3 linked regions of the Arabidopsis thaliana genome follow. The protein of the gene in region 1 interacts with the protein of each later gene in a pairwise test. Each region holds a gene or a part of one and is shown in the gene's direction. Other genes may lie near its edges.

The links.
Region 2: the proteins of MYB49 (region 1) and AT1G22190 interact in a two-hybrid assay, tested with the Arabidopsis thaliana proteins (one large-scale study listed by BioGRID).
Region 3: the proteins of MYB49 (region 1) and AT1G76210 interact in a two-hybrid assay, tested with the Arabidopsis thaliana proteins (one large-scale study listed by BioGRID).

The regions. Positions count from the first base shown.
Region 1 is NC_003076.8:22,013,653-22,021,803, reverse strand, and holds MYB49 (myb domain protein 49), read left to right. Parts: upstream 1-3,742; 5' UTR 3,743-3,958; coding exon 3,959-4,091; intron 4,092-4,288; coding exon 4,289-4,418; intron 4,419-4,750; coding exon 4,751-5,447; 3' UTR 5,448-5,661; downstream 5,662-8,151. Other genes in the region: LCR83 (low-molecular-weight cysteine-rich 83), read right to left, coding at 7,483-7,652, 7,848-7,926.
Region 2 is NC_003070.9:7,832,300-7,839,871, forward strand, and holds AT1G22190 (Integrase-type DNA-binding superfamily protein), read left to right. Parts: upstream 1-3,481; 5' UTR 3,482-3,945; coding exon 3,946-4,731; 3' UTR 4,732-5,112; downstream 5,113-7,572. Other genes in the region: AT1G22200 (Endoplasmic reticulum vesicle transporter protein), read right to left, coding at 5,558-5,649, 5,749-5,815, 5,913-6,005, 6,094-6,147, 6,393-6,444, 6,534-6,601, 6,687-6,866, 7,052-7,144 and 2 more.
Region 3 is NC_003070.9:28,592,490-28,599,680, reverse strand, and holds AT1G76210 (DUF241 domain protein, putative (DUF241)), read left to right. Parts: upstream 1-3,684; 5' UTR 3,685-3,798; coding exon 3,799-4,479; 3' UTR 4,480-4,731; downstream 4,732-7,191. Other genes in the region: AT1G76220 (hypothetical protein (DUF241)), read left to right, coding at 1,381-2,151; AT1G76200 (NADH dehydrogenase ubiquinone 1 beta subcomplex subunit), read right to left, coding at 5,701-5,757, 5,862-5,907, 6,224-6,330; AT1G76190 (SAUR-like auxin-responsive protein family), read right to left, coding at 7,085-7,191.

The DNA.
Region 1 (8,151 bases):
ATTTTTTTTTTTGCAAATTGTATCTATCTATAATATATTTTTATTTTATAATTTACAATTGTTGTTAAGTAACGTCCTGCCAAACTCATCCCGCCAAATCCGTCCCGTAAAAAAACCAATTATTTATATTAATGTTGATCTTATTTATGATATGTTTATAAATCATTGTCTAAATATTTTTGTCGATGCGGGACGTTGAACCCACACATTGTTTTGCTAATTGGTTAATATATGTTCATTTTAAAAATATTGAATCATACAATATGATGGAAAAAATTAAGATTTTTTTAAACTCTATATATTATATAATGATGTTAAAAATTTGTAATATATCAAACTTTTTATAAGTTTAAATATTAATAATGTTTTATCAATTTTAAATATATAAATAATAATATTTAAAAAGTTAATATTTTTGCTTATAAGGTAATGACATAATAACTCTAAAAGCAAGGATTTAAAAGATTTAAATCTTTAATTAAATATTTTCATTAATAATTAATTAATGTCAGTGACATGACATTGTAAATAAGTTCAAATACAAAATTTATTTATTTAAACAAAAAACGTTAAGTAAGAATAATATTTATTTAACAAAAAATTTTGTTTTAAAATATTGTTAACAAATATGTTTATGCTAATTTTAAGGGATTGATTTGAAGTTTGGTGGGATTAAATTTGATTGATAATGTGATTGACAATTTAAATCAAAAATTTAAAGTAAAATTAATTATTTTAGAAAAAAGATTTAATGCTAATGGCATTAGATTGTAAATAAATCAAAGTCTAGGATTTATTTGCTAAAATGGCTGCAAAAATGTATATATAGATGACTCGTTCAATTAATTTGGATATGGTGTCTCTCTATAGTCTGTGGTCTATAGTCTATAGTCTCTAGACTATTTTGTTTGTTTGTTGAATATATGCCAAGAAAGATAAAGAAAACAAAGCATAGGATTTGTGACAAAAAAAAAAAAAATAAAAAAAAAATAAAAAAAAAAAAAAAAATAAGCATAGGATATAACATCAATAAAGGGGCAGAAATCAAAAGACAACAATTTTTTTTTTTTTAAAGAGTCAAAAAACCAGTACACATAATTGGACATTTATGACAAAATTGTTTTGGGACATTTATAACTACTAATAGTTTTTGCTAAGGTATTCGTATTATGAGGTTAAACTAAAATAAAGATGATGTTACTGATTTTTTTTTTTTAATTAATCCTAACTTTGATTTTAAGATAAGTTAAAAAATATGCTATATATCCGAATATGAGAAAAATCCAAGAGAATAATTAGTTTACTATGCTGCTGGCAATTTTTTTTTAGTTTACTATGTTGCTAGTGCTTGCTACCACACTTGTACGTGTTCAAGGCGTCGTGGATATATTATACACCATGAAATCTAAGGTTAGGTGTTTTTTGCTAAATCGTTACGTCATTGTTTCTTAAAAATAAGAATTAAAGGTTAAGTTACGTCTGTTTATTTTGTGTGTGTTTGTTTATAATTTGTTTATATAAAAGAAATTGGAAAGATAAATGAGCAAGGTGATTTCGATCATTAGTTTCAGTCCATGTCTTTGTCTCTATGGTCGGCCATCGGCCTTAGAGGCGTGAAAGTCTTAAACAATAATAGAACTTCATTCGGAAAAAAGAAAAAATAACCCTTAATATTTAAATGTAATTTAGATCATACAGTATAAATAACTTCTTATACCAAACTAAAATGAAGATGGTAGCTGATTAACGAATTTACATGCGGAAGACTTAAATAATCGATAGATTAGTTTATGAAAAGACTTGCATAATCGATAGATTAGTTTATGAAAAGACTTACATAATCGATAGATTAGTTTATGAAAAGACTTGCATAATTGGTAGATGCAAAGTTATAAGAAAACTGATAAATCTGAAACGAGGCTTGAGTTCATCAAAATTTCCTGTGACAGCGATTATTTTAATGTTACTAAGACGATTGGGTTGTTGGGATTGTTGTAGATAAACCAGGCAATAACATAATCTACCAATAACAATGTATTGTATTTCCTTTTAGTTGAGAAATTAAATATTTGACCACATTATCTGAATTTTCTTGTCGTCTTAATAACTAATTATCATTATTCATTTTTGGCAGGATCTTTTTTTCTTTGTTAAAGGGTCTACTTTTTTTTTTGATAAAGCAGTCTTTTATTTTTAAAACATGCATCACAAAATTTACCTTCATGAATCAATTCCCTGTGAGACAATGATATGATTTAAAGTTTACATGTAAAATATTCTATACCGTGGAAAAACACTCATTTCATTGTTATATAACGAAAAATATGAATTATATGGACGCAAAATAACTATTTACTAGATATATCGATGTTATAGAAATAATATTATATTAAAAAAAACGATATATACGGTTTAGTGTTAGTGTAAGTTTATATTTTTGGCACTTGTTGAAAACGTTATGATAACTTGTTTATTATCAACCTAACATGTTTTATACGGCTATACCGCATAAAGTGTAGAATTAATTTTACCTCTTTATATGACACAATAATATTTAACATGTAACAAGAGCAAGGGGTTACTTGTCAAATACGCCTATGCACTAAACAATGATAAATTGGTCATTCTCCTAATTTAAAAAGTCACTTTATCATTCTTCTCTAATACCAAACCTTTCTATATAATCACTCTTAAACCGGCCGATAACTTGTTTTCCAAATAATCTAAAACTTATACTAACCAAATTTAACTAAAATAGTAATAATTTCTTACAAATATCAAATCAAAAAATTTCAAATCCCTGACTTGTCAAATCAACCATGTTTCGGACTGAGACCAAAGTCTCTGCAATTCAATGACACATGTATATTATATAGTATTGTTTCATTAATCACACATGTATTTTGACCGTTAACATGCCTTGTTCTTTACGTATGTTGCACTGCAACAACGCTTTGTCGTTAATTTACCTAACTTAGTAAAAACAAAATACATGTCTTAGATTATCAGTTATTCAAACTTGTCGTTATGTAATTGTTATTGAAGTAAACAGAAACTCTGGTGCGATGCAGGACGTTACTCAAACTGAGTCACTTCGATCGGATGTCTTAATTCAAGCAGGACAATCTAGCTTTGCTACTGAAATTTGATGACACGATGATATATATCTATTTCCAACCGATGAAGCACACTGGAGATCCGTTTGGATTTTTATTGTTTTTACTTTTTTACACTATCGTAATCATTCTTTACATATTTCCTTTTTATTTTCTCCTTAGAAGAGAAATTATTTGTATACAAAACTTAGAAGGCTAAATAAGCATATTTATTCAGTATAATCACTGTAACCACACCTTATTCAATAAAATTCTTATTTTGAATCTGTCTATTTATGTATATGATATTGCTATAGTGATGACAGATGAGTAAACATTAAACATACACGCAACATAGCTATCTTGAAAACTGTTTGATGATTTGAGACAAAGAGACCAAAACAAATGGAACCTTCTTCACATATCTATCACACGTCCTCATACACCACCCATATTCTGCCATGTGTTCTCACTCCATCAATATTAATTATTTTTAGGGTTAATAGAGATGGTTTAGTCTCATGCTTTTTGTTTATTACTTTTTTTCTTTGGTCAGAGCTTTTTGTTTGTTAGTAAGGACTTTAAAGATAGAGAGTAAAAATTACTCTTTTGTTTTGTCAACATAATAAGCAGTTTTTTTCTACTTCATTTTGTCTCCGTATTTCATCAAGAAAAGACACGTATTTAGATAGATGATGGAAGGGCGGTACCAAATCTCCTTGACTTGACTTTGCATGTACCATATATATATTTGTATATACATAAATCATAATTCATGAAGAAACCAAATTTTCTCTGTAATCAAGTTCTCAAAGCTTATTAGCTTCTCTCTCTAGTTCTCTCACATATAACATTTGAAAAAGATGGGAAAATCTTCAAGCTCGGAGGAAAGTGAAGTGAAGAAAGGGCCATGGACTCCGGAGGAAGACGAGAAGCTCGTAGGCTATATTCAAACGCACGGTCCCGGCAAATGGCGTACCCTTCCCAAGAACGCCGGTAAATTCCTACCCTAACGCATGTATATATACAAATAGCTAAATCCTATCAGCTACAATATGTTTTCCTGCGTTTTGTTTTACGTTTATGTTTAAAATTTACTAATAATGATTATCATGCTAGATCATGTCAACGTTAGAATTAAAATTAAAACAATCATGGTTCTTATTCGTTTTTCTTGGTGTGAATCTTAAAAGGGTTAAAAAGATGCGGGAAGAGTTGTAGATTGCGATGGACGAATTATCTAAGACCCGATATCAAGAGAGGAGAGTTCTCTCTTCAAGAGGAAGAAACCATCATTCAACTTCATCGTCTTCTTGGAAACAAGTTAGTCTATCTGCAATTTTTCATTTCTTCATTTAGTGTATAATTGTTTACATGTATGATTAAATTAAGTAAAAAATGACCTAGTTTTCCACTACTACACCTACTTCATTGGACTTCCATGTCTTTACATTTTTGTTATAATATTACTTGCATATTTTATTTTATTCAACTAAAAGACAAGAACATAGTTAAGCACTATACCAAGGTCAAATGTCTAAAGCTAAGCATGCAATCTTCAACTCGCTGCAGCTAATATCTTAACAAGTTAAAACTTATACTTCTCTTTTTGATTTTAACTTAAAATCTATAACACGATATTTTTTCTTCTATAGATGGTCCGCAATTGCTATTCACTTACCAGGAAGAACAGATAATGAAATCAAAAACTATTGGAACACACATATTAAAAAGAAACTCTTACGAATGGGGATTGATCCGGTGACTCATTGTCCCCGCATTAATCTTCTCCAGCTCTCTTCGTTTCTTACCTCATCATTGTTTAAATCTATGTCACAACCGATGAATACTCCATTTGATCTCACTACTTCAAATATTAATCCTGATATCTTGAATCATCTCACTGCCTCTCTCAACAACGTTCAGACCGAATCATACCAACCAAACCAACAGCTTCAAAACGACCTAAACACTGACCAAACCACTTTCACCGGTTTGCTCAACTCAACACCACCCGTTCAATGGCAAAACAATGGAGAATACTTGGGAGATTATCACAGTTATACCGGTACAGGTGATCCATCTAATAACAAAGTCCCTCAAGCCGGAAACTACTCATCAGCCGCATTTGTATCCGACCACATTAATGATGGTGAGAATTTTAAGGCCGGATGGAATTTCAGTTCATCAATGCTAGCGGGAACTTCATCGAGCAGCTCGACACCGTTGAATTCGTCTTCGACTTTTTATGTCAATGGTGGAAGCGAAGATGATAGAGAGAGTTTTGGTAGCGACATGTTGATGTTTCATCATCATCATGATCATAATAATAATGCTTTGAATCTATCATAATGTCTTATTTATTTTGCTTCTTGATCTTATTTGTTTTATTTTTACTTTTTTTTAATGGGGGTTTGTAATTGTGTTACATACTTTGTAATATAAGAGCTTAGTCTATTATTATGTTGACTCTTTTTTTTTTTTTTGTTCTACTTTTTTTGATCCGAAAAGGTTTCTATTTGTTTACACTTAAAAAAGTTATAAAACCTAAGAGGATAACAGCTAGTGTACCTTTATCTTGACTTTGTTCTTCTACTAATTGTTTTTTCTGCTTCGAAGAACTTTACATTAGTCGACTCTCAAAAGGTCATAAGATGGTTGATAAGTGTGTTACGTACATACTTAGTATTTTAAGAGTTAAGTGTATTCTTAATCTTGGATTTCTTGTGCATTTTCTTCCACTAATTGTTCTTATTTTCCAATTCGAAGAACTTTCCATTCGTTATACCTAAAAGGTCTTCAACTTGTACGAAAATTTTCTGGTGTTATAGTTTTATTATTCTATTTGCACCATCTTGATTTTGATGATTAAGAACACATTTGGTGGAGCAGGAGACAATAGTGATTATATTTAATTGGTCATAGACTCATAAAGGGGAGTTTTCAATTTCATAATACAAGAAAAAAGAAATAATCGACTTGTTTTCCCTTATGATTGGTTTGAAATCAGCACAAATAAATAGTAATACACCTAAAAGGAAGATTTAAATAGTTATCCACTATGAGAAAATGTGTATGAAAGATTAAAATAGAAAATATATAGTCAACGTTGTTCGAAACACCAAACCCAAGTTATAAAACTGTTCATACAGTGAGATGAGATATATCAAAAATAGCTACTATCAACTATAACATAAATTAAGTAGTAGCTAGATGCTACTTTGAAATTCTGTAATTGACTGAATGACACTTATGTATGTGTATAGAGACATACACATCATAGTATTTTATAAATATGTGGTCCATTCTAGTCTCTTGGATTATTGGAAAAAAAAATACATACGCCTAACCATTCATTGAACCTTGCGGCCATAAAAATACAATAAAATCATGCAATGATATGAAATAAATAAATTATATACTTGTACTTATAGATATTGTATGAGAAAAAATGTGTATATTACTGGGGAGAGAATTTATAAGTAATAATTAGTTAGTTTTTACAACAACAATTTTGGAAAACAAAGAGAATTCCATAGGGAACACAAGAACCTCCTTTGTATTTCTTCATCACACAAATCTCTCTGCACGCTATTAAGTCTATTTGTAGTTACATGACATGGTCGTTTGGCCATACGAGTCATAACTAATTAACTATTAACTCATAGTTATTTCCATTATTTTCGTTTTTTTTTTAACTATACAAGCCAATTGACCATTATTGTGTAGTCTTTGGCAATGTAGTAACCTGCCCACATTTCAAAGGAAGATAAAAAAATCTTGATTTCTTTCTATCCTAAGTTTGACTTCAACAAGTTGTGTTATTATATATAATAGAATTTGGATATGGGTCTGCGTTTGTCGATCCAAATGACAAGACTAGATAATAAATCTCAAACACAACAATTTTGTTTCTTACAACAGGTTTAAACTGAGCTGGGCCTTAAGTTTCTCAAATTCGCAAAGCCAATCAGCTACGTTATATCGCATATGCATGATGAAATGCCTTTGTAGCACGATTGTAATCGAATCTACGAGGAGTAACTTGTTACACACCAAAGATACAAAACAAAGTAAACTAAGATAAAACTAACAAATTGCATGAAAAACAAAAACAAATTGCATGAACCATGAAGCAACTTGTTATAACATCCCAAACTTCATAGAAACGCAAATCACTTCTAAATTGACCGGACTCGCGAGCCGTGCCAAGGTCATCGAGATCCACTTCCTATCGCTAGAAGCGTGTTATCAGATTCAAAATATATCAACATAAATACATAATCAATAAAATGTGCTAATCTCATTAGATCAAATCTTATATTATTATTCAACTAGTAAAAAACATATCAATATTATTATCGTTCAAACTCTAATTAATAACTATTTAAGTTTTACAGCAACAATATTTGGAAGTAGGGGGAATTCCAAAACCAACACAAGAACCTTCTTTGTATTTCTTGTTCATACAAATCGTATTGCACTCGTTATTGCCAAGTTGAGGAGTGCAAGGATTGAAGCACAGTTGACTCGAAGCCTCCCCGGATGCAAAATTACCTATTCGGAAATCAAATTCATTGACAAAATGTATTTAAGACACACAAATAAGTAAAACCCACTCCTAAAATAAAACCACAAATGTTACAATAATAATAATTTAAAGAATACTTTTCTGTTTTAAAAATACTTTTAAAAACTTGAAGAGGTATTTTGGTAAATAATGCTGAAAATTTTAAATGAGCTTTTAGATACCGGAGACTAGATCGGAGGAGACTGCGATGAGAACCATGAGGGTGAATACAACCAACATTTTTGAGGATTCCATCTTCATACAATTCAATTTCTTACACACTTTCAAATCCTTTAACTAAATCTTGTTATATTTACTATTGTTTTTTCTTGCTTATCAATTTGCAGGCATGTACATATTAAGTCTATTTATAATTACAAGAAATGGTCATTGGTCAATACTTATTCATAACCATAAATTCGTTTTTTAATTCTTTTACCATACATACTTACTTGCATATTAATATATAGTATGACCAATTGCTGT
Region 2 (7,572 bases), on another chromosome or scaffold:
ATAATCACATAAGCTTTGTATAATAAATAGTCTGCAATGGCCATATGTCATGCAAAAATTAACGGAGACAATTCACCTAAAATCCACATGCAATTCCTCTTTCCCTCGTAGAACAACGTGCAACTGATCGAAAAACAACGACACCCTCCTTTCGATATCACCAAAGGAAAAATAAATTAGCAAATCTATTTTTCTCTACTTTCACTTCACCCAATACACGCATTTTCACATGCATTTGTATTTTACCAACTTGTTCTACTACTACTATATTTCTCATCTTATGCATTAATATAAATTAAAATTAGGTGAGTATATTTCTCATTTTACGTATTAGTGTTAATTAAATTAGGTGAGAAAATACAATTGTAAACTAGTAAGATCATTCAAAGTCAAGAGGTCAAAAAGACACGTGGAGTTTAATAAGCCTTTTAAGGTGAGCTAGTCAGATAAACAGTACAAAATGGACCTTTGAGGGTGAACACGTGGCAGATTCGCAACGGTTGTTTGACTTCGACAGATAAAACGGACGCGTTTGACGGAAACCGCGTTATGAGCATTAAATTGCAAAAGTTCATACCAAAAGCAAAAATCCAATCAGATCCACCTTCTTTTCTTTTCTTTTCTTTTCGACCAAATTAGTCACAAATCGGATCTACCTTTTTTCTTTACGATTTACAAATATTTCTCAAAAATCCTAAAAATGACATGTATGTACTATTATATTACTTGATTTAGATGCAGTGAATCTAGCTATCAAACAACTACTTTTATAGACAAGTTAAGGAACAACAATGCAAAAATGTCAGTCATTTCATTTGCCCCCAATAAAAAAAAAATGTCAGAGAACTTGAGAGTACACTAATAAAGTATTATTGTTTAAATAAACTAGATGAACACCCATGCTACGCATCGATTTTTGTTTTTAAAATTGTCGGAAAAATATGATTATGGTTTTTTGTTGATTTTGATGTTCATTTTGATTGTTTGACAAAAAAAAAAGATGTTCATTTTGATAAATTCATCCATTTAATATAATTATTATTTTTTATGATTAGATTCATCTATAACTCAAAATATCAATTCAACTACAATATGAATATTTATATATTTATTATTCTAATATTTCACTATCATGATCACATACTATAACAGTAAATGATATACTGATATAAGTAGTTATATTACTTATGTATTTTAAAACTTGTCTAACTTAATTGTAACAAACAATTCTTTATTCCATATATTATCTCGTTATCTAGTACACAATCACATCCTGATATGCTAGTAATTTAAGTCAACATTTTAATTCTTATCCCTACCATATAATCATATAAAGTCACATGTTGTTGTTTTTTTGGTATGTCTAATGTCTAGGATGACTATTACGTGAAAAAATTATATATCAATGTTACAAAATTATCTTAACACACAAAATGTACCGAAAGAAGTTCATATGATAAATCAAATTCACAAAATATAATAATAATAAAATATTTAACTAAAATTACTAAATTAATATGAGGTTAGGTAGCAAACATCTAAACTACAACACAAGTAAATTTTTAGCCATTATAGATTAATGATTATTGATTAAATGTTTTTAATAAAATAAGTAGAATAAAATGAAAGTAGTGCTTGGTACATTATTATGACTTTTTATTTATCGAATGTTTTTTAGAAAATTCATTTAAGAGTGAGATTAACACAACAAAAGACTTTTAATTTTTTCTCAATTAGTTTTGCTAGTTTTTTTATTTAATTAATATAGAATGACACATGTCATTTTTTTGTGTGATGATGTATCATTTATATGGAGAGTGTAGGCCAATTTTCATATATATATGATTTTGAATAAAAAGAAAAATTCAAAAGGAGAAAAATAGGCAGCAAAAAGCTGTCAGTTATTACATACAGCTAAGACTTGAGTAATGATTTTGTAGTTGACTATTTCATTTCCCCTGTGGACACGCTCGGCTTACGGTTATGAAATCATGCGTTGGAGTTTTTCTTGCTTTTCCCTTTTCTCATGCGTAGAGTTTTTTTTCTTTCTTTACAATTTGTTTAACCATAGTTTTATAGGTTTGTAGCTATATGAGTGGTTAATTTATGGTCTAGCTAATTGGTCTTTTTCTTATTCAGTTTTTGCATTAAATGTAGATATCAATACTGAAAGTTGACTTTTATCAAAAATACATAACAAAGTATAAGAAAAATAACGCTTAGACAAGTTATTACACATATGCAATGTTCACCAAAGCAAGCAAGTACGAAATATACATGCATATGATAATACATGTAAACGAGATAAATCAGCATCGTAAAGATGAACTGGTAACACGGACACGAGCCATCCACATGGGTGGTACCTCCTTATGCGCGTCTTCCCTCAAAATATTGATCATTATAAAATGATGACACCATAGTCTAACCTTGCAAATTGACGCCGTATTGATTGTAGTGACATTTGTACACGATTACACGAAGCAATAAATTAAGTGATGCAACTCTATAAGATATCGTAAGATGATGAAATGTTTAATAAACTAATTAAATGGATGATATAATACGGAATTGACATTTGAGGAGTTCTCAGCCATTCATTCTAACCCTCTAGACCCTTCTTTTTTAATCTTGTATGATTTATTATCTAAATAAAAGTCTAAACCACTCATTAACATGATATCATCATTACATTGCGAGCCAAAATTATTGCTTAACAATCATGAAGTCTACGTGTGTCACATTCGGAACCTCCGAATAATTATTTTTATACTTTTTCGGTTTGATATACTTCAATATATACTATTAATTTGGATAATCTCATTCTTAATATTCTCTCAGTTCCATTTTATTGAAAATTTTCAGAAGTTTTGTTTTCGCATATATACAAAAGAATTCTAAATCTACTAGCTGGACTAGTGGACCAATTGTTGGACGCCTCTACCAAATAAATCGTAAAAATATGTTGATTTCAATTTTATCAATTTGGCTGGAATCGAAGTGCTCGTGTACATTAGTTTCAACCGCTTAGAAAGACGTCTAGCTAAATGAGTAGACAACCATTTTTTTAACTAATCTTTTAAAATTTATGGAGTTGTGTACGTCCACTCACTTCTATTTGAATAGAAAAAAGATTAATATGGTTATGGAAGAAACGTCCCATAAAGCCGGTGTGAATGTAATATAATGAAATGATTCTCCATCAAACTATGATTGTAAAATTAAAACGCTTCGATTATAGAATAAACTTGTAGAAACATTTTAACTTGTAAAAATTAACCATTCTAAAACAAAACTTGTTAAAACTCAACTTACAAACAATGTTTGATTGAAATTGAATATATATTATTTGGAGTACGTAAACATGGATGATCTTATCTGAAATAGTACATAAAATAACAAAAGAAAAAATTAATTAAACATATAAATTTGAGAAATATGAGGAGGATGGAAAAAAGAAGTCACGCCACGCCTCCTATATAAACAAGAGCCAAGCTAATGAGATAAGTGTATCGGTGAGGCTGAGAGTTATTCACTTACAAAAAAAAAAAAAAACTTGAGTGTAACCAAAAAAAAAAGTTGATATACTTTCTGGTTTTCTCCTTAACTTTTATTCTTTACAAATCCATCCCCCTTAGATCTGTTTATTTCCCGCTACTTTGATTCATTTCTGTTAGTAATCTGTCTTTCGTATAGAAGAAAACTGATTTCTTGGTTTGTATTTTCTTAAAGAGATCAATCTTTTTTTATTTTTGATCTTCTTGTGTTTTTTTTTCTTTGTAGAATTAATCGTTTGTGAGGGTATTTTTTTAATTCCCTCCTCTCAGAAATCTACACAGAGGTTTTTTATTTTATAAACCTCTTTTTCGATTTTCTTGAAAACAAAAAATCCTGTTCTTTACTTTTTTTACAAGAACAAGGGAAAAAAATTTCTTTTTATTAGAAATGACAACTTCTATGGATTTTTACAGTAACAAAACGTTTCAACAATCTGATCCATTCGGTGGTGAATTAATGGAAGCGCTTTTACCTTTTATCAAAAGCCCTTCCAACGATTCATCCGCGTTTGCGTTCTCTCTACCCGCTCCAATTTCATACGGGTCGGATCTCCACTCATTTTCTCACCATCTTAGTCCTAAACCGGTCTCAATGAAACAAACCGGTACTTCCGCGGCTAAACCGACGAAGCTATACAGAGGAGTGAGACAACGTCACTGGGGAAAATGGGTGGCTGAGATTCGTTTACCGAGGAATCGAACTCGACTTTGGCTCGGAACATTCGACACGGCGGAGGAAGCTGCTTTAGCTTATGACAAGGCGGCGTATAAGCTCCGAGGAGATTTTGCGCGGCTTAATTTCCCTGATCTCCGTCATAACGACGAGTATCAACCTCTTCAATCATCAGTCGACGCTAAGCTTGAAGCTATTTGTCAAAACTTAGCTGAGACGACGCAGAAACAGGTGAGATCAACGAAGAAGTCTTCTTCTCGGAAACGTTCATCAACCGTCGCAGTGAAACTACCGGAGGAGGACTACTCTAGCGCCGGATCTTCGCCGCTGTTAACGGAGAGTTATGGATCTGGTGGATCTTCTTCGCCGTTGTCGGAGCTGACGTTTGGTGATACGGAGGAGGAGATTCAGCCGCCGTGGAACGAGAACGCGTTGGAGAAGTATCCGTCGTACGAGATCGATTGGGATTCGATTCTTCAGTGTTCGAGTCTTGTAAATTAGATGTTGCCATAGGGGTATTTTAGGGACTTTAGAGCTCTCTGCGATGGAGTTTTTGGTCATTGCAGAGATTTTATTATTATTAAGGGGGTTTGTTATGTTAATATCAAATAAGTTTATCTACTTTGATGTTAATTAGTGTTAATCTCTGCGTCGGTCCAAGCTGTTTTTTTTTGGCATGCTTCGACCGTGTGAGATTTCTTATGTAATTTTTGTAGTTCCTTGATTTTCTTAGTTCAAGTTAAATTGGCACAAAAGAACAACGATCAAAGTAGAAGAAACTAAATTCCTTAACTATAAAAACTTGATTGGTATGAAACTGCAAAAACTCCTTCTAAATCTACAAAACATGTAACTCACTTCTCGTAATAACTAAATTCTGGAAGTGTTGCTTAGACTGTAAATGAGGAAGCATCCTGAATCAACTTTAGTGTATTTCAATCCATGGCTTTAAGCTAATCTAAGAAACCACTTTCTCTGATTATCAACAAACGTAGACACTTAAAAAAACAAGGCTTTAGTTTAATAACATAAAGCAAGATCGGTATCTTCAGATTTAGACTACACTTTAAACAAATGAGCTCAAATTAAATAGGAAAAATTAACATTCGTTTCAATCGGTGATAACAACATTTTACACTTTGTATGTTGCCTATGAAGAGATAGTGAATAGTGAAAGGCAAAGTTCAGATCCTGGAATATCTTACAGTACTACAAAATTCTTTAAATCATCGCATTGTCACAAATTCAAACCTAATGTCTAACTGTAAAACCCGTAGAGATGATTCTCCAGTAGCTGATCAAGAAAGTGTGGAGAATATCAAACAACTCAGTTGAATTTACCAATCTCCATTTTCTTCTTAATTGCTCGTTGTCCATGGTATATGAACGAATCTACTATTCCCGATACCGTGAAGATACCTGCAAATCAAAGGTATAATTTTAGTTTTGAATTTGATGATAAACATATCAGTAGGGTATGTTTAAATTGAATGGAGAAGGGATATATATATTGATTACCTCCTACTATAGCGCAAACATTTGTTAGGAAGTGCAAGAACTCCACATGTTGCTCCTCAAATATCACCTAGCCAACAATCAAAAGTTAAAATGTTTCTAGAGATATAGTCTCCGTTGGTATTAAGAACACGACTTGGAAAAAGAAAAAGAAAAAACGAACAGACCTTAATTGGCGATAGATCATAGTAGAAGAAAACACCAGGCGGAGATTGCATGCGACCTGCTTCCATGTTCTGGAAATGTTCTGTCACAGAGAACTGTTAAAAACAAAAACTCATAGGTTAGATTTTACAAGAAGAAAATGACAAAGATTTTTATATAGAGATTTGGGGATGTGGGATTTACCTGGTTTGACTGTATTGTATTCTGGTGAACATCGGTGTATATGCTTGGTACCACCTGAAATTCAACACCACAATCCATTCTTTATCCCTACGCTCAACAATCTTTCTAGCATGCAAAAGCTACCGATAAAGAAATTCTTATTGCATTGGTCAACAAGCATAATGTATTAATGTCTTTGTACTTCTCTATCAGTAACCTGAGCTAATAATGAGCCTTTTAGGAATCTCAAAATTTTGTACCTAAACTATTGTCCCAGGTGAGAGCATTGTCTATAGATATAATGTACAAATGAAGCAAACCTTGATGAAGTATTGATAGACGCCACTCTGTTTCCCCTGATTCCACTGCACACTGAGAGAACCAAGAGAATGTTTCAGAAGATAGGATTATTGAAAAAGCGATAACAGGTGCGAGTAATGGCTATATAATTGAGTTTTTACCCATCAAGAGGGTTCACTACACCGGGGAAAAAGTCTCCAAAGGCCAACCTGTTGACCTTGTGGCTAATCTGTGTAATGATATAATAGAGTCAAGACCCATTTGAAATATGAGCTTATAAAGAGAGAATGAAACAAAAATAAAACTTTTCTTACATTGTAGTTGCCTTGCTGGAACAATAACATATCATGAAATTGAAAACCGGATTGATGAAAGCTTTGCCCAGGAATGAAATGAAAGTTCCCAGCAACTTTGTTAACTTCCAAGAAACCGTGAACATTACAACCTTCACCTTCTTCATCTTTTACCTTTTGCACAAAGCCTTCTCTTTTACACTGAAATGAAATGATGAGTAAGAATATCATACAACTAGATGTGGGGATAGCTGAAACGAAAGACCAGATACCCATGGTTTCTTTAGATATATCCATTTTAGTGCCAAACAAGGTGTCACTATTTGTTTCAAACTAAGTACCAAGATCAACCCAATTTTGTTGTTAGTGAAGGAACGTCAGTATACCTGGTCGATTGATTCAGGGTCCGAGAGGGCCCAACCTTTCTTTCGGTAAGCTTCGCGAACTTCCTCACATGAATTACAACAAGCATCATCTGACTGTAACATGTAAGCAATGACAACCACAACATGTAACAAGGATAAAAAACATTTCACCACCATAGAAGAAACTAAAATGTAAATTAACTGAATCAACACTAAAGAACTCAGTTGAATATTCTCTACTGCAACTTAAAGTCCAATATCGCTTGTCAGAGCATATTCTTAGAATAATTTAGGGAAGCTTACCGCTTCTGCTCCAAAACAGGAACCACAGTATGTTTCATTGTGTTCCAACCTTCCACCATGTTTTTGTAAAGGTTTTTCAATCTATGGATAAACAATAACATTAGGTAATTAGAGACATAACGAAGCAAACAAGACAGAACTTCAACACTTTCAATCTCTTAAAACTTCTTGCAATGAGATCAGAGATGACACATGAAAATGAAAAATTTCAAAACCATAGAAAAACCAACCTTAGTATG
Region 3 (7,191 bases), on another chromosome or scaffold:
AAGTGTTCCTTTTTTAGATTTCCTTTTTCCTTGTATTAGGTCTGTTGTGTATATGTATAATTTTCCCTATAGGTCAAAATAAATAATAATAGCAATTCATATACTTTGATCGTTTTAAAACAATCTCTTCCGATCCATTAATATTATGTGATAATAACGATAGCAAGAATGATCTATGAATTGTAGTTTGTTTCAACTATACAATAATTAGTTTAGTTTTCAAGAACAATAAATTTTAAATTTGATATATTAACACACTAATTAACTCAGCATGAAACCACATCATTAGTATTGCATATTCTGGTCTTATTTTATTATTTGTTTTTTAAATTACAAATTTTAGATAAATGTAAGCGTGGATAACACCTAGTTAATAAATAGATTATTATTATTTTGGTTTAAATAGGCTCTATTTTTTTTTGTAAGTTATACAATAGCAATAGATGTATATGGAATGTTATGATCTACCATGACGTTTATAAAAACACATCCAGGTTGTCACGAAACCAACTTGGTTGATGGTTTAGTTTAAGAAGTATTCCCATTCGTGCACATTCCCAGCTTTCCCCTAATTGGAAAACTATTATATTACATGTATGCGTGTATATCGTATACAAATGGTATTTGGACATTTCTTAATCTGTGAAATCTCCAATGGTATTATAATAAACGTTGCAGAGATTACGAGAGCGACTTCGCAGCCAACGGTTATTGTTTCTTGTTGGTTTCGTATTTCCGCAGCCCATCCAAGGTTGCCGCACATGCAATCAGTATAAGCAACTGAAATTTGGAAGTAAGATCATTTCAGGTTTTTATCGATCCCCCCTCAATATTTGGTCTTTTTCTGTTTAACTATTACATTGATACCTAGAGAAGAATTACTGCTCATCATGTTGTTAAATCAAGGTAATACAAAAAAAAGATATTCAGGAGAGACTTCACATATTTACCTAAATAAAATGTACAAAATAATCAAGAAGAAATTATCCGTGTGAATGTTATTGTCCATGATGATCTTGCATGAAAATCATTTGCTAAGCAGCATGTTCACCTATGTGATTAATTGGTTGTTTCAGCCATATATGAATATTTAATGCCAAGCCAAAAAAAAAAAGAGGGAAAATTTATCATGAAGGAGAAGAGTGTAGATTTGTCGTTAGACTGTCGGAAGAAACTTAATTGCAACAGCCAATTCCAGCCTGTATCTATATTCGTCGACCTATTGACTTACCTCTACGTGCAAGTATATGTATATTCAAACTTAATCATGCATGTACATAGAGACACATACATATATATTGGTGAGAGTACGTTTTAATGAGAAGCTAAACCTTTTCATTCGTTGACTATACATTATTATCTCTATAGAGTGAATCAGCCATGGCTTGTACTTCATCATCTGGTGCACACGTGCGTTCAACAAGCTGGTCCGAAGACGTTAATCCTCTGTCTCGAGCCATCGAAGATCATCTTCTGTTACTAAAGAAAAGACCAGAGTCCGCTCGTCGGAAACTTGGAGTTTTAAAGAATCTGTACGAGGTTGTCGAAGTTTTCCTCCGTTTTCAAACGACTAAAACTCAAAAGTCTTTCACAGGATTTGAAGATGTTTCTGACGGATTCATCGAGGTTCTTGATATCTGCAGCACGATCAGAGACGTTCTGATGGAGATAAAGGAACAAGTCAGGGAACTCGAATCAAGCTTGAGGAGGAGATTGATCAGAAGCAAGTCAGGAGAAGATCAAGAAGCTTTCGTGGCGCGTGAGACAGACGCGTACGTGTTTAAGAGAAGAGCACTGAGCAGAACCATCGTCAAACAATTGAAGAAAACAGAGGAGAAGATGAGGAAGAGGAAGAGAGATTGTGGAGATGTCATTAATGTAATGAAAAGAGTTGAAAAGACCAGCTTTGATGTTTTGGTTTCTTTGTTGATTGAGGTAGTGACGAAGGATCAGAGAGATCAAAAGAAAGGATCAAGGAGAGGAATTGTGTCGAGGATTTTTAATAAGAAGAATCAAGAAGTTGATGTGGATGAGCTGAAGAAGTTGAGAGAAACAGAACATGAGATTGAAGAAACAGAGAAAGAGTTGGAGTGTGTGTATAAGAAACTGTTGAAGACAAGAGTTTCTTTTCTTAACATGCTTACTCTTTGAGATTGTATAGATGTAATTTTGTTCATTGTGAAGTATTGTTGGCTTTAGTTTAGGCAAAGTCTCTCAGATCATATTGATCTTTAGAACTTGTAAAACTTTGTGTGCAGCGTTCTTAAATCATATTCAAACGATTACTTGTCAAGAATACGAGTTCGAGATAACAATTATCAGCAGATCACTTCAGTACTCTATGAATATTTCATAAGTTTATAGTTATACAATCATGAGACTGATGAGTGTATCAGTTTTCTTATCAGAAGTTGTTGCAAAACAGAGTAAGGATGAATTTGAGATAATGGGCTTATTAATTGAGTTTCATGGGCTTTATTTTATGTTTGATGGGTTGTTTGCAAAAAAAATAGCTAAAGAAATTACGCAATAATGTCTTATTTTCTCTGTGTGTTTTTATAATCACGCAATAATGTCTTCTTATTTCTCTTTTTTTAATCACGCAATAATGTCTCTACATGATGATGACAACAGAGAAAATATAATGCATGGTTGATTATTCGTTATAATTAGTAGCTATACCTTCCAAACGGGAAATCGAATAATAAGATTGCTGCACTAACAACATAATAAAAATGAAAGCATTTCAGCATTTGGAGTTGGAGGGATATGAATCTAATTATATAATTTGTGGGAAGATATTAATTTGTTGAAAATAACCTGAGATATAAAGATCTTAAACATAAAATCTAATCCAGGATGTATTCATGCGTCGAGCCGTCGAGGTGGTTACCTGATTGATAGAGAAATTAGACATATAAACATATATGTATTAATGTATGCGTATTATTACTGTCCACGTTATAGAAAAGGTATATTGGTATTTGTGTGAAACTGTGAATATTTCGCTTGTCCAGAAACATATATTGAGAGGTTAACACGTAACACAATGTCACAATCGCATGTATTGCCAAAGATAAGTTCCGGTTTTAAAATGATTATTGATCATATATTCATATTGATCAAGTAGTTACCATTATTTGTTTTCTGTTACTGTAAGACTTATATTACTTTCTTGTTGGTAATTAATATATCCATTTAACTTGATACATAAAACATATCTGACAAACCCTTAACATAATATTTAAAGTCTGATCCAAAATCTAAACATTTCTCATCTCATTTAATATTCGTCCGTCTGTTCCAAATTGTTGCAATTTACCAACACAGCCTGGCACCGTCGCTCGTGCATGCATGGTATATAGTATATAATTAAACCTTAAGACTATATATTAGAATAAAAATCTTTAAAACTATATATTATAAATTGAAAATCTAAACGAATCCACAATGTACCCTAATCCACGAGTGCCTCTTACGTACAAAGAAGGTTCCTTGTGACATGTTTTGAATCATTTAAATCATTGTTTTGATAATACCTCCAAAATGAGCTGTTCCCCGGATGTCCCACGTCCGTACAAAAACCCAAACTTGGGAACCTTCATCGTACTTTCCCTCAGATCCTTCTTAACCTCTATATATAATCTCATTCTTACACACATTCAATATATCTCTAATCTTCGCTTAAAACTCTCAAGAAGCCCTAAAAACCATTCACAATTACATCAAAAAATACCTTTTCAAATTCTTTTTTTACATTCATAAAGCTAAGTATCTCGAATAGATTAAGATCTATCTATGGCTCAGATTAACTTTGAGGGTTTGAGAGAGCTACACGACTGCGTAAACTATCTCCTCCATCACTGTCCGAAAACAAGAGAATCTCTGTCTCAACAAGGACAAGAGAAATGGACGGAACAAGTTTCAGAAGCTTCATTGAGGATGTTAGACATCTGTAACGTATCCAAAGATGTGATGACGCTCGTGAAACACAGCTTGCAAGATCTACAACTGACTCTACGTGGCAACGAATCATCTGATGTCAACGAGAAGATAGCTGCGTATAATCGGTATAAGAACAAGCTCAAGAAGGAGACACTGAAATGCTTAAACTGTTTGAAGAACATGAAAGGAAACGAAGGAAGAGTGGCCATGCCAATAGAACAGAACCTTCTGTTTGTCACAGAAGTTTTGAAGGAAGTGAGAAGAGTCGTTGTGACGATGGTTGAGTCTTTGTTCTCACTTGGTTGTATTCCTTGGCTAGAGAAGAGATCGAGCAAAGGGTCTTTGTCTTCGATCTTTTCCATTCGGTCTTCCTATTTGTTAGATGATGAATGGGACGAGACTGCGGTGCAAAGCGCGACTACGAGGTTGGAGGCGGCGGAGATTACTGTAGTGGAGCTTGAAATAGAGTTGGAATCTATTTTCCGGCGATTGATTCAGACGAGAGTTTCACTTCTTAATATTCTCACCAACTAGATAATATATGATATGTCCGGATCGGTTAGGTTTTGCTTCAAGCGGACATGTTTAGTTAACATTAAATAGATTGATTTGTAAACTTATTTTCAAGTTTGCAACATCAAATTCTTTTATTCTATATAATTTATTTTTTTACCCGTTTCCTAAACTGGCTACTTGGATTAAAGACTTGAAGTTGAAGGCACACTTTTTGTCTTCACCAAAAATAGAGTCAAAATGAAATTGTTATTCAAGTAAAATTTGAATTATAGATGTTTGTTTATTTATTCACAATTCATGTTGCTAGAATAGACATTTTCAATTTGATGATTTTGCATATTTTTTTTGGTTTTCAGATATAGTTATAAAAACCATTAACAAATTCAGTTTCGTAAGTGTTAATTTGTATACTTAACACAGCGAATATAACTAATTTCTAGTGTTTCTTTGTAATTCGTATCATTGGAGGCTGGATCTAAAAACACGAATCTCGCAATGCGTTTTATTTCAAATTAATTTGTTGACAGCAAAATAACAACATGATCAGGAAGTGCAACACACAAGTAGTAACTTAAAACAGAAGCAGCAAGTCTTACAAAGTTGTGTACAAAAACAATTCACGTCTTCTTCACAGTTCTCTTTATTTCGACATATGAAGCTGAAAATTAAGAAAAAAACAAGAGACGATCCTTTTTTCGTCATGATCTTCAAAGGTTCAGTGAGACCTAGCAGCAAAACCCAAAACCAGATTAGTGTCAAGTAGTTTGAGCAATGCTTATATGGTTACATGAAAGGTGAACTCGAGGATAACTACAAATCATCAATGTCTAAACAAAGAGAAAACTCAAAACATGTACCACTAAACTAATAACAAACATTCACAATAAAGGCACTCAATTTTCATTCACTCCCGAGAGTTTCAATGATTCATTCTAGTAGATATAAATCAAGAACATCCTATAGAGAAGTTAAAGATCCTCTAAACTTTCACCACTTGTATGAACCAAAACCAGATCAAAGCTATCATCTTTCTTCAAAACCAACTAGATAGCAGTTAACAAGAGATCTTGTTAGTAAGTGACAACTTAGAAATGCTACTCTACATTATGCATAGACATTAGCTTCATTGAGGAATTGCTATACGGTATAAACAATAATGCGTGTTTACTACGAAAAAGGAGATTTTTTAATCATCTTTCTTAATGATTCCATCGACAATACTACTAGTAAAGACATTACCTAGTGATGATCTCCGTGACCGTGATCACCATGACCATCCCAAGGGTGCCTCCATCCCTATCCATTGCCAATAGCAAGATCAGATTCAGCCACCACGAAAGATATTAGGACCAATAAAATTTACAAAAGCGAGACAAAGATAAAAAATGAAAGAGTTTTACCATAACTACAGGACCATCTTGCTTTGCCCTGTACAGAATCCAGAACCTGAAAATACCAAAAATTGAGTTTTTAAGATGTGAATGCTAGGGAAAGTTAAAACCTATGTGCGATTACTTCTTCAACCATTCTCATCGAACTGAAATTGACATAAGCAATATCTGATTCAAATTAACATCTACCTGATTAGCTCCGATACTAATTTGACAAATCCAATTTTTTGATTCAAATGGATTCTATATACAAAATTCCTCAGATGATCAATTAGCCCAAAATCCCCATGGCGAGATCTAGCTACGATCGAGATTAGCTAGGTCCCAAAATCAAAAGCGAATTAGGTGAAAGAGAGAAATCAGAAATGTACCACATAACGGCGCACAAGCCTTTTCCGGTGACGGTGTGCCAAGTCTTGGGAGTGTGGACAGTGACTCCCTTGTAAGTTATACCTCCGCCATGTCCTCCTCCACCCATTATCTCTCTCTCGAAACCCTAGATTCCCCGATTCGCACTTCAATTTCAGACCGAAAAAGCTTTCTTTCTCCTCAGCTTTGACAATTTACTACCTGAGATTTGATTCAACCATGTGAGTCGTCACTTTTAGTAAGGCCTCAATTAAAAGGCTTAGGCCCAATTTAAAGACCAAAGGCCCATTTCTATATCTGTTTCTTTCACAATGTTTTCTTCCTTTTTGGGCCCTTTAAGAAGTTTGGATACATGAATTGAATGTTTTGTAGATTTTGTAAGAGTTTTTGGTTTTTGTTTTCCAAAAACTTATTTTCATACCAATCAAGATTTTAAAATTTTGGTTTCCCTACAATTTAGAAAAATTATTTTCTTGTAGTTTTCCATTCATGATTTTAGTTTTTTAGTTCTCCTAAAATTTAGGAAATCTAGTTTTTACTCAATCAACGTTATTTTTCTCAAAAACCAAAAACCAATTTTTTGGGGTTTTTGAAACAAAAATATAATAATAAAAATCTGAAACTAAAATCTAAAATCTATAAACTAAAATCTAAATTCAAAAACTGAATCCAAAATCAGCATCCATTCAGGGCCTATAACTTCGTCCCAAATCGTTGTTTTAACCGTCAAAAAAAGACTCAAAATCAAATGATGATACTGTATCATTGATACATTACAATAATTAATTTATTACAAGATCATGTTGGTATACACAAAATAGAACAACCCTTCTCCAAAAAAAGTTAACAATTACTCCAAATGGTTAGGAAACTAATGACTGAAGCTGGCTCTGTCCACGAAAGAGAGAAGAGATTGAAGCTCCCTTGCAGGTGCTGCTCGTGGAAGACTTCTCCACATCATCATAATCAT